2 linked regions of the Caenorhabditis elegans genome follow. The protein of the gene in region 1 interacts with the protein of each later gene in a pairwise test. Each region holds a gene or a part of one and is shown in the gene's direction. Other genes may lie near its edges.

Region 1 (6,335 bases):
ATGACGTCACAAAATAGACTCATGGGGTCTTCAGACCACACCGATATATCCATCACGTAACAATTTTCGGAAAAGAAAAAAAGATTGTTCGCGTGTCAAGTTCAAACTAATTCTTCTCCAAAATGTTCCAAAAGAAAATCAGAAATCTTGTTCTCAATGAACAGAATGACGTATTCGAAGACTAATCAGGCTAATTATTGCCTTCAAGACCCTCCCCTGGACCTCCTCCATTCTGAAATTAGTTGTGCTGACGCTGTTGGCCAAAAATAAGAATAAAATGAAAATAACATGGACCTTGCTGCCGCTCCTGGATAAAAATGTTATTGTTTTGTGTATGCTTGGAACACATAAAATATAATATAATTTTCAATTCATTTTACTTAATAATTTCGTTCTTTGAACATATTTCCATCAATTTTCATCGTTTTCATTTCAGAGTGGTCCGCTCTCAAAATGACGGTTTTTACATTTGTCGTATTGCTACTATTCTACTTTTGCAACACTGTCTTCTCGTATTATATTCAGGTTAGACTTTATTATTTTTTAATGTAATTTTTTAAATTTAAAACAATTTTGAATAATTAAAAAAAAATTAAATAATCAACACCTTTGAAACTATCCAGAGACAAAATTTTGTGTTTTTTGAGCTAAAAATACGGTACCAGGTAAATGACACATGTTTATTAAATTAAAAACGGTGTGCGCCTTTAAAGAGTACTGTAACTTCAAACTTTCGATGCTGTGGCAATTCGAAATTTCAATGAATTTTCCCTGTTATTTCGCATTTCGTTAACAACTTAAAGGTTTTTCAGAATTTAATACTAGTTTCCAACATAAATACATACATTCTTACTCAAAAATTGTGAAACATCAATAAAATTCAGTAGCAACTAAAGGTCTAAACTACAGTACTCTTTAAAGGAGCACACCATTTTACATTCGATGAAAATTTGTCGTGTCGAGACCATTTACGGTATTATTGGCGCAAAAGTCAAAAATTAGGGGTTTCTACGCCACGTAGAACTGTAAACTGCCGTGCGGAATTCGGAGTCTCGTTTGGCCACGCCCACTTGATTCGTTGAGCGTTTTGAAGCTTGCAGTACTAATTGGGTGAATGTTTGCACTTTTTTCGCACTAATTCGAGTTTTTATTTGTTAATTTCAGACTAAACGATTCGACTATGATCCTTCACCAATTCTGATGTACAACCAAATGTATTCTCATGATAATTGGGTCCCTTTTCGCTACGAAATCGACAGACAAGTTGATGAAGGTGCGTTAGCTTACTTATTTTTAGCTTGATCAGTTTAACTTTCAAAATTTATAATATGTTTTCAGATGTTATTCCAAATTGGGAGTCGTTGGCGGACGGTGGGACAATGGACAAAAGAGTGACTGCTGATCAGATAAATTCTTTGTTGAAAAATGCGTGGCTCGGTCGATAGATTCTGAGATTTTGATTAATAAAGTTTTTATCATGTTTTCATGTTTGAATTCTTGAAAACTATTCATTTTAAATGCCAAAAATACAACGAACAAACTGAAATCAGTGGAAATTTCGCGGAAAATCCTATTTTGAACAACCGCGCACTGTGGCCTAACATCCGACTCGGCCGCCGGCCGTGTACTCCTCTCGGACAATATATTTATTTATGTTTTCAGAGTCAATTTCTGCTTTTTTTGCTTGTTTTTCTATATATTTTTTTATATTTTTCTTAAAAACGAACTGGATAATTTTTTATTTTTCAATTTTTAAGGTATGGCGGCCGAGTCAATCTGGAAAGTTAGACCCGCCGCCCGAAAATTCGAAACCGACCCGGATTTGGTAATTCCGGCCGTTCAACACCCGTTAGAAGACGCAGAAACTAAAAATAAAATAGCTGCGTTTTGGACAAAATGGGAAAGCAAAAAACTAGAATCGAAGAAATCGGAAGAAAAAGGAAAAGAAACGTATGATTTTGAAGATCCTCTTGGTCGGTTAGACGAATTTGAAGAAAAACAAATAGATTTAAATTTCAGGCGCTACATTTGGAGCTGCAGACGGCGAGGAAACTGTTGATCGAGACATATTACAGCAAAGTACGAAATCAATTCGTAGTTTTTCATTGGATAACACTCTTGAAAACAAACGATCCGATCACTCGAGTTTCAACATAGAATTGCCCGAATTTCAAGCGTGGAGAGAGAAACGAGCTCAAATTGCTCTGGTTGCAAAACCAAAAGAATTTGGAATGTCACAAATTGATGTTCTACGAGCTCGCCTGAAATCACTTTCCGATGAGAAGAATTTGAAAAATGTGAAGAAAGCTGGAGATGTATCGCAGAGATTTTTAATTCTCAGGGAAAATCTAATTACCGCATGGGGAAGAGAAGATCGAGTAGAATCATTTAAAGTAAGGATTTCAGAATAACATAAATTACTGTTTAATAAGTAAATGATTTAAATTCAGATTGTAATTGAATCGGCAAATCTTCTACAGTCTATACCTCCACAATCGGAAGAATATCCATATTACTGGCTTCTTGCAATTGATGTTGTTGATACATTTGGAAAATTACTCTACGATCGATTACTTGCAAAGTCAAACGAGGTATGAAAATGAGCAGAAAATTTAAAAATCATATTAAATATTTTCAGGCTCGAAACAAAAACGGTCAAACCGATCTTTCTGCGAATTTCACCGTGGAGCAGGTACCGAAAAATGTGAAGGATATGGCAATGAATTGGTTTCTGAAATTATCTGAAATTATAGATATTCCAATTCGGTTTTATAGTAAGAACCACTCAGTTTATAAGAAAAAAATTGAAATATTTTCAGTTGAATGCTCGATGATTGCGTGTCTGAAATTTTTCGATGCAGCAAATCTATCAATAAATTTGGAACGCCTCGCTATAATGTGCTCCCGTGGGTTTTTTTCTTCAAAAAATTCAACCCATCAATATAATTTCAGAATTCAACGATGATCTCTCTTCAATATTTGCTCGAGTTCACATAACCCGCTACAGTATGCTCATTGATCCATTAAATCGTACTCCTCACTGGAGAGTTCTACATGATTGGATGCAGGCACCGAAAGATGTTATGGAAGAGCTCCATCGAAAGAAAACTTCACTCGCGGACGCCAGAAAAGAAGCAGTCTCAATTCAAGGAGTTTCCTGGATTGTTCAATGTGTTGCTCACGGAGCTCACACTGTTGATGATCTTGTTCCACTTTTTGCATACTGCCGAAAAACTTCTCCACTTGATGAGAAAACGTTTATTTTGGTGTCAGCTGTGATAGAAGGATTACCATCGAAATATTTATCCGTGCATTCTGAACAAGTACTGGATATTATTTTTGCATTACATGAAGATTTTGAAGAACCGCTCACACGTCTCGGAAAACGATATCTCAATATGGCGCCGATCGAGGAAAATAGAAAATTTGTGAAAAAGTAAATAAGTGGCTAAATTTATTTTCGAAATCAAAAAAAATCCGAATTTATGAATTAAGGAGAAATAGCCGATCAGAAACATTTGGTATTTTATTATATTCGAGATGGTCTTTAAAAATTTCCCAAAAAAGTTTATGGCTGGTCTAATTTCAGACTTTTTCTAAATTTTGTTCTTAAAAAATGTTTTTGAGAGAATATTCCCCCTACAAAAAGGAAATTTCCTCCATTTTTCCTTCTTGACATGAAAAATTTTTTTGGATCAAAAACGTTGCCTTACGCATCACGTTTCCCCAATTCCCCTACATTCGTCATCACAACATAACGTCTGTGTCTATTTGTGACCGAAATTGTGCTCACTTGCTCACAAACGGCTGTCTCCGTCTAAAGTATAACTCAATTCGCCTTCTCATTATCTCTACTTCTCTCTATTGTTTTGAGAGTTGTTTCAGGTCAGTATGGATGCGTGTAGCAGATATTTCGAATTTTCAAACTTTTGTCGATTGCTGTGCTGCATGGACATCTTATATTACAAAATATTACACCTTGAAGGAAGTCACAAAGATTCTGGAATTGGTTTTGGTTCGGCTCAGAATTGATGATCAAACTAAGGTTAGTTTCGGTTTTTTAATAGATTTTACAACAAAAAACCCGAAAATGTATTTACACCGATATAAAAATGTTTACCAAAATATTAAAATTTTCAGAAGCCAGAAAACACGGCTCTTCTCATCAATCTAATTGCCGCCTTCCTGGAACATAATGCAAATAAATCTGATTGTTTGGACATTGTCACGTCAAATAGTTTCATCAAAATAGTAGATCTAATCGGTTATGATATTCAATCAACATCAGACTGTTCTCGACGAATTTTGGAAATTTTCTCTAAAACCTTCACACGCCACACGATTTCCGATATATCTGCCTGTCAATTCATTATTGAGAAATGTCGAACTTTGTGCAAAGCGTATAGACTGGAAGAATCAGAAGAAGTCAAAGCTGCGGAGCAACTTGTTTGCTCTTCACTTTCTCTGATTGATTTCCAAGCATTTACAAATTTGGATCAATGCATTGAATTAATAGTCAGATGTCGAGAAGACATGGGATTACGGCAGAATAGTTTAATTGTTAGTTTTGAATTAGAAACAATTTGAAAAAAAAAACTTAAATATTTACAGCACATCATTGAAACTTTGTTCAATTTCACACAGTTCATCCATCGTACTCAAAAGTCTGGAAAGCGAAAAGCGGATTTTATGAGAGTGTGCATCACAAATCTATCACTTACAATCCCAGCTGTCCGAGATCCGTCCCGACGCGTCAAGATGACTGTGCAAAACATTCAAATGTGCCTTCTTGCCAATTTTCTTCCTCAAGTATTTTTCCAACAAGCTTGCCAAAATATAAATAAAACATAAACCTTTTAGATGGAAATGTCGAGTGTGCGTGTGATAGAATATCTCGACGAAATGAGCACAAACGGTCCTTCTGTGTGTGCTACAGTATCCCCTCTCATCAGTCAGTTCCTCGCAACACTCAGTTTCTGCCCAGAAGGATTTAATGAAGAAATGCCGTCTCTTTCGCATTTTTCGAAAATACTTGCAATTGTTGAAAGGTGAATTTATTGAGATTTGTGAACAATAATTTAAAAATGTTTCAGAAATCACGAAGAATGGTCAAAAGAGTATAAAGGAGTTCCACTGGCAGAGATTTATATCAATATGCTCCGTTACCTGTGTACATGCCGAAAAGTTGATCCACTTCGAGCAGATAGCAGTCAAAAATTGCATTTCGGCGATGATGATCATTTGTGAGTCTTTAAAAAATTTTTGAAAAATTCAAGAAAAACAATTGACAACTTTGAAATTTAAATAATCTAAAAATATATTTTCCAGAATTCGAGTGGATTGCAACATTTCTGACGTCATCACAAAACTATTCTCACTCGCCAATGACCCAACCATTGCAGTAATTACACTGGAAAATGTTGTCATGTTATTTGAAATTCATGAAGAGGTATTCACTGAACCGTTAACTATCTTAACTACCCTCAAATTTTCAGATGCGCTCCACGATCCGAGGTCTTCTGAAACGATCAGTAGGCTCGCCTGCTCATTTGCAAAAACGCCTTGACGCAATCATTCAGGATCTCCGGAATGAAGCCAGTCACGATGAAACTGTCCGAGATATTCTTCAGAGATTATCACTTTTATAATTTGTCAGTGCCTATTAACTTATTATTGTCTAACTTATTTTGTCTAAAATTACGGGAAAATAAAAATAACATCAGTTGTTAATATGTGATATTTTAATTGTTTTAAATAGCAGTTAACTAGTTATAAATATTTAAAAAAAAAGTTCAATTTTCTTATATTTACGTTTATTTGGTATATTTTTAATTGGATCAGTTCCATTTATTATTTTCTTTTACCACTTTTTCCCCTGTAACTATAACTCAATTCCAGATAAATGTCAGATATAAGCGACGATGATATTTTTGGAGGCTTCGATAATAGAATGGACACGGAGCCCATACAAATTGATTCCGACGATTCATTCGATGCGGGAGCGCCGACGTCATCACACACGATGGATAGAAAATCGATAATTGAGAAATATCAAAAGTTGAAAGAAGAATCGAAAAAATTAGATGATTTAGCTGTTGAAGTGGGTTTTCAGCACAGTTTCATATTACGAAGATGCGAAAAAATTCATTTTTGGTATCTCCCCTGGTCACGACAATTTTATTTTCAATGCGAAAAGGCGTGCGCCTTTAAAGAGCACTGTAATTTTAAACTTTTGTTTCTGCAGCAACGACAATTTGAAAGTACAGTAACCTGTAAAGGCGCAACCCCTTTTTAAAAATGTTTGAAAATTTTTCGTGTCGAGACCGAGTACCGTC
Region 2 (4,543 bases), on another chromosome or scaffold:
AGCTAAAACATTCAAAATAATATCACAACATAAATCTTACCGTACAAACGTGTTCTTCATGTTCATCAGGTGTCGTATCCTTTCTTTTTGTCTTTGAAGGTGTTCTCATGAATAACGGGAAAATTGTTCTCAATCCGAGCATTTCGACAAGTTTATTGCAATTTTCGATTCCCTCGTCTCCTGATGTTGCATGGTTCAGAACTTTCAGAGCACTTTGTCTTGCTTGTTTCTTCTCTCGGAGCATCAAATTCATCAATTGAAGACCTTCTCCGTCGAGGAACTTTTCTGAAAACATTTATTTTGAACAAGAGCAATTTTTTTGGTGTTTATATTCAAAAAAATTCGTACTTCGATTAGCCGGATGCATAAGTGCGGCACAAAGTGAGTTGAATAGATTTTCCATGTATTCTCGTTCGTCTACATTTGCTGGATCGTTCTTTTTGTACACAGCAATGGTCTTAAAAGTTCAATTTATTCTTGATACTTTGTTTGGCTACTCACTCTCAATAAAATATCGATGCCATCAATTTTCTCTGTCAGCTTTGCCTTTGCAGTATCAGAAGTCTGCAATATGACTGAAAGAAGTTCCGAAGCGTACATCTTATTCGCATCAAATGCACCTTTCTGAAAGCATCTTTTCAGAAGCCAAACCGTGAATCCGTGCTTTACGCATTCTTCAGTAATGTCATCGCGGAAACCAATCATCTGAAAATATATTGTTTTGTTTTTCAAATATCGATTTTTCTTACATTGTCCACAACTCCGAGTGCATTATGGACGCCATCCGCTTCATCTTTGACGCTTTCATCGAGCCTCTCTACGCATGCTAACAAAGTTGTGATAATCGATCCAGACACAAGACTTTCAATAAGTTCAGCTGCTCCATCTTCTCCTTCGTTCATCACATCATCGTCTGTAAGTTCTCTCAAGAGACTAAGTGTTGCACACACAATATCAGTATTCTCGTGTCCTAATAATTGAAGAAGAATTTCAACTCCGTTGACTTCAACAAACGATCCATAAAGGTCTGGTTGAGAAGCCAGACTATGCATTTCTTGAATTGCCTTGTCTAATTCAATTTCCGATTCCATGAATTTCTGAGCATCATCTGGATTTTTAACTCTTTGTTCTCGATTTAATCGCATCTTTTTGTCAAGTTGAATAACAAGTTTCTTAACTTGCACATCGTCGAGAGCCACATAATTTGATTGATCGGCTTCCAAAGCCGCAAGAATATCTTCTGGTTTTGGCTGGCCAGCTTGAGATGAAGAAGAAGCACTATCGTCAAAACGAGATTTCTTTCTTGCTGGCTGTAAACTATTTATAATCAAAAAAATTTAATATCAATTTACCTGATACAAAGAAGATGTCGATGATTTGATAATCTCTGTTACATCGATAGAAGTCATCTGGAAACAATCATTTACCAACCTATATTTTTAAAAAACCACAGAAAAATCAAAATATTGAAGAAAGTGTATAAAAATTTTCGCAAGCAAATATTTTCAAATTTTTTTTTTGCAATTACTTTGGTGTAGATATACGGTAAACAAGGCGCGCACCGGAATATCGGAGTGTCGCTCACATTATAATTTCTAGACCTGCATTTTATATATTTGTTTGTATAACCTGATATCAGTGCAATTATGGATAAGCCTTCTGTGTTATAGTTATAAATAATTTTTACGGCATTCTTTATGCCTTTTGACAACAAAATAATTATATCCGACAATTCTGGATGAGCTCAACATGATATAAATTTTTGATCTAATACCGTAGTTGACTACGGTAATCCATTCGATTTGGCGGGAATTTTCAGAGGCGGAGTTCAACTTTGAGCGGGAAAATGTCAATGAAGGGGCTGATTTCCTCATTTTTGTCCCAAATTTCGCGATGAATGTCGCTCGAAGAAGAAGTGGCCTGTTTCGGTCGACTATCGGAGCAACGCCGAAGATCACAAGAGGACGTGCTGCCGCGCCATCCACCAAAGAAGCCAATTCAACAACAATCCCAAGACAGTCGGCTCCTGGAGGAATAACGATTGGAGGTAAATTTGTCATTTGTGTTTTTAAATAACTTCCTCGTGATTTCAAAGTGTTCACACTTCTAAATAAAACATGTTTTTGTTTTTGTTTAAAACCTTTTTTGTTAACAACTACTTTAATTACGAGTTTTCAGCCGCTGCTCGTCGTCCTCCGTCTCGTTTGCCTACCCCCACAACGCCTGCAACTGGTAGAGCATCGTTGCCAGAACGATCAGCGATGGCCAAACCAGCGTCGTGTTCCCGTCCCATACCAACGATGCAATCCACCGCGAGCCGTATTTCCACACTGACGGCAGCTTCTACGTTTCGACAACTTCGCACAGGTCGTCCACCGCCACCATCCACTCAACGCTCAACTGCGACTTCTTCCCTGAAGCCGTCGGTGACAAGAGCCCGACCAGTGGCACAGAAGCCTATTCTCCCTTCTAAGATGGCGCTTCTTGAAGAGAAAATTGCGCAGCTCGAGAGTGCGATGGCTGAGGCTACCGACTTTGCTGAACATCAGAAGAGCAAGATCCAAATCCTGGATGGCAAACTTGAAGGAGCGGATCGCAAGCTGATTTCACTGCAAGATCAATTGAGCACGCTGAAAGAAGTCAACAAGGCGAAAGTGGAGGAGTGCGAGGATTATCGTGTGCACAACAACGATCTCCGGGATCTGCTCAACGAAAAGGAAGCTGAGTTGAGAAAGTTGCACAACGATGTTGTCGATTTACGCGGTCAAATTCGTGTGGCTGTTCGCGTTCGGCCGTTGATCAAATCTGAAGCCGACGCCTCGAGTTCTGCAATTGAGTATCCGGCTATCGATACCATCAGAATCAATGAAGGCTCGAAGCCTGGAATTGTGGTCAAATTCGAGAAGGTTTTCACGCCAGTCTTCTCGCAGAAGGAAGTGTTCGCGAACGTCGAGGAGTTCATTCGGGTTAGTTTCAAAATATAATATTAATAATTGAAAATTGATAATTTCAGTCGTCACTGCATGGGTACAACGTCGGATTGATTGCCTATGGACAAACCGGAAGTGGCAAAACTCACACGATGCGAGGAGGAAATGGTGAAGAGGAAGGAATCATCCCGAGAGCAGCTGCATTTCTGTTCGCCGAATCCAGAAAGCTCGAGTCACTTGGATGGAAATTCGACTTCTCGTTGTCTTTCCTAGAAGTCTACAACAACGTGGCATACGACCTTCTCAGTGACCGCGCCGTTGTCCAACTTCGTTTGAACGATCAAACGGTTTCCATGATTGGGCTCTCCGAGCACACGATTTCCAATGTCTCGGATGTGGCTAGACTTCTTCGTGTAGCAGACGGTGGCAGGAAGACGGCGGCGACAAAGTGCAATGAGAGCTCGTCTCGTTCGCACGCCGTTTATATGTGGAAGATTACAGCTCATCAGCCATCAACTGGTAACTTTCGAAAATAAAAATAATTAATTCACAATATTGATATACAGGAATTTCAACATCGTGCCAGCTCAAACTTGTGGATCTCGCAGGATCCGAACGTGCCAAGGAGTCTGGTGTCAGTGGCGACCAGTTCAAGGAGATGACTAATATCAACCAGTCGTTGTCTATCCTTCAGATGTGCATCAGCCAGCAAAGATCCCAGAAGGGACATGTTTCATATCGCGACAGCAAACTGACACAAGTGCTGATGGACTGCTTGGGACGTGGCAACTCGAAGACTATGGTTGTGGTCAATCTCAATCCATGCAACGAGCAAGCGACAGAGTCCAAGAGAAGCATCGAATTCGCCTCAAAGATGCGCAGTACTAACATCGGATCGGCCGTGCAGCAACGGACTCTCTTGGGTGACGTGTCCCAGATGTCTATGAACTAGACATATAATTCTATTCTAACATTTCATGTAAAATAACGTTATTTTTATTGCCTTATGCAAACCTTTTATACTGATGTAACCTAAATATTTCGATCATTAACAAAATGAACGAATTTCAATTTTACTTTGCGTTTTTTGAGTTTTAATCGTCTGTTTCAAAACAAAGGGAGATCCCGATAGGAAAAATATAGTCCGGTCTAAATGCTGTTGATTGGGTTATAAATACATTGTTTTGAGCTTTATGAGAATATTACATTTCTTACTGTAGTATGTATGTCTCGACCCGACGAACTTTTGATGAATTCGAAAATGGCATGACCCTTTAAAGAGTACTGTAGTTTCAAACTCTCGTTGTATCGAAAACTGTACAGTTTTCCATACAGTTTGTTTAAATTTATGTTTTTTGTTACATTTCTGTTTTAAAGAAATTTTAACGAAAGAAAAAGCTTAAAACAGTTGTATTGTATTTGGAAACAACAAAAAAACAAGAACAATTAAATAATACATGACTATATTGTGGTACACGTGAATTCAGGTAGCAAGCAATAGAAATAATTACAAAATATTGAGAGCATCAGAAATCGTTTTCACGTCAAGAATGAGCGGAATTTGGTTACGCTCTGGTGAAACCTCAACCCATAAAAGAAGATCAAGACGTTTG

The links. Proteins that work in one complex are often made in the same cells at the same time.
Region 2: the proteins of F26G1.1 (region 1) and klp-15 interact in a two-hybrid assay, tested with the Caenorhabditis elegans proteins (one large-scale study listed by BioGRID).

The regions. Positions count from the first base shown.
Region 1 is NC_003280.10:4,789,863-4,796,197, forward strand, and holds F26G1.1 (VPS35 endosomal protein sorting factor-like), read left to right. Parts: upstream 1-1,755; 5' UTR 1,756-1,759; coding exon 1,760-1,973; intron 1,974-2,019; coding exon 2,020-2,393; intron 2,394-2,450; coding exon 2,451-2,591; intron 2,592-2,638; coding exon 2,639-2,774; intron 2,775-2,819; coding exon 2,820-2,906; intron 2,907-2,952; coding exon 2,953-3,436; intron 3,437-3,885; coding exon 3,886-4,045; intron 4,046-4,140; coding exon 4,141-4,560; intron 4,561-4,611; coding exon 4,612-4,809; intron 4,810-4,860; coding exon 4,861-5,048; intron 5,049-5,093; coding exon 5,094-5,243; intron 5,244-5,328; coding exon 5,329-5,449; intron 5,450-5,495; coding exon 5,496-5,648; 3' UTR 5,649-5,806; downstream 5,807-6,335. Other genes in the region: F26G1.15 (Neuropeptide-Like Protein), read left to right, coding at 454-525, 1,165-1,273, 1,339-1,445; C33F10.4 (Alpha_adaptinC2 domain-containing protein), read left to right, coding at 5,903-6,100.
Region 2 is NC_003279.8:5,576,532-5,581,074, reverse strand, and holds klp-15 (Kinesin motor domain-containing protein), read left to right. Parts: upstream 1-1,880; 5' UTR 1,881-1,893; coding exon 1,894-2,047; intron 2,048-2,178; coding exon 2,179-2,966; intron 2,967-3,013; coding exon 3,014-3,449; intron 3,450-3,496; coding exon 3,497-3,882; 3' UTR 3,883-4,005; downstream 4,006-4,543. Other genes in the region: ctnb-1 (Beta-catenin-like protein 1 N-terminal domain-containing protein), read right to left, coding at 41-285, 349-457, 502-705, 750-1,310, 1,353-1,409; rmh-1 (RecQ-mediated genome instability protein 1 homolog), read right to left, coding at 4,438-4,543.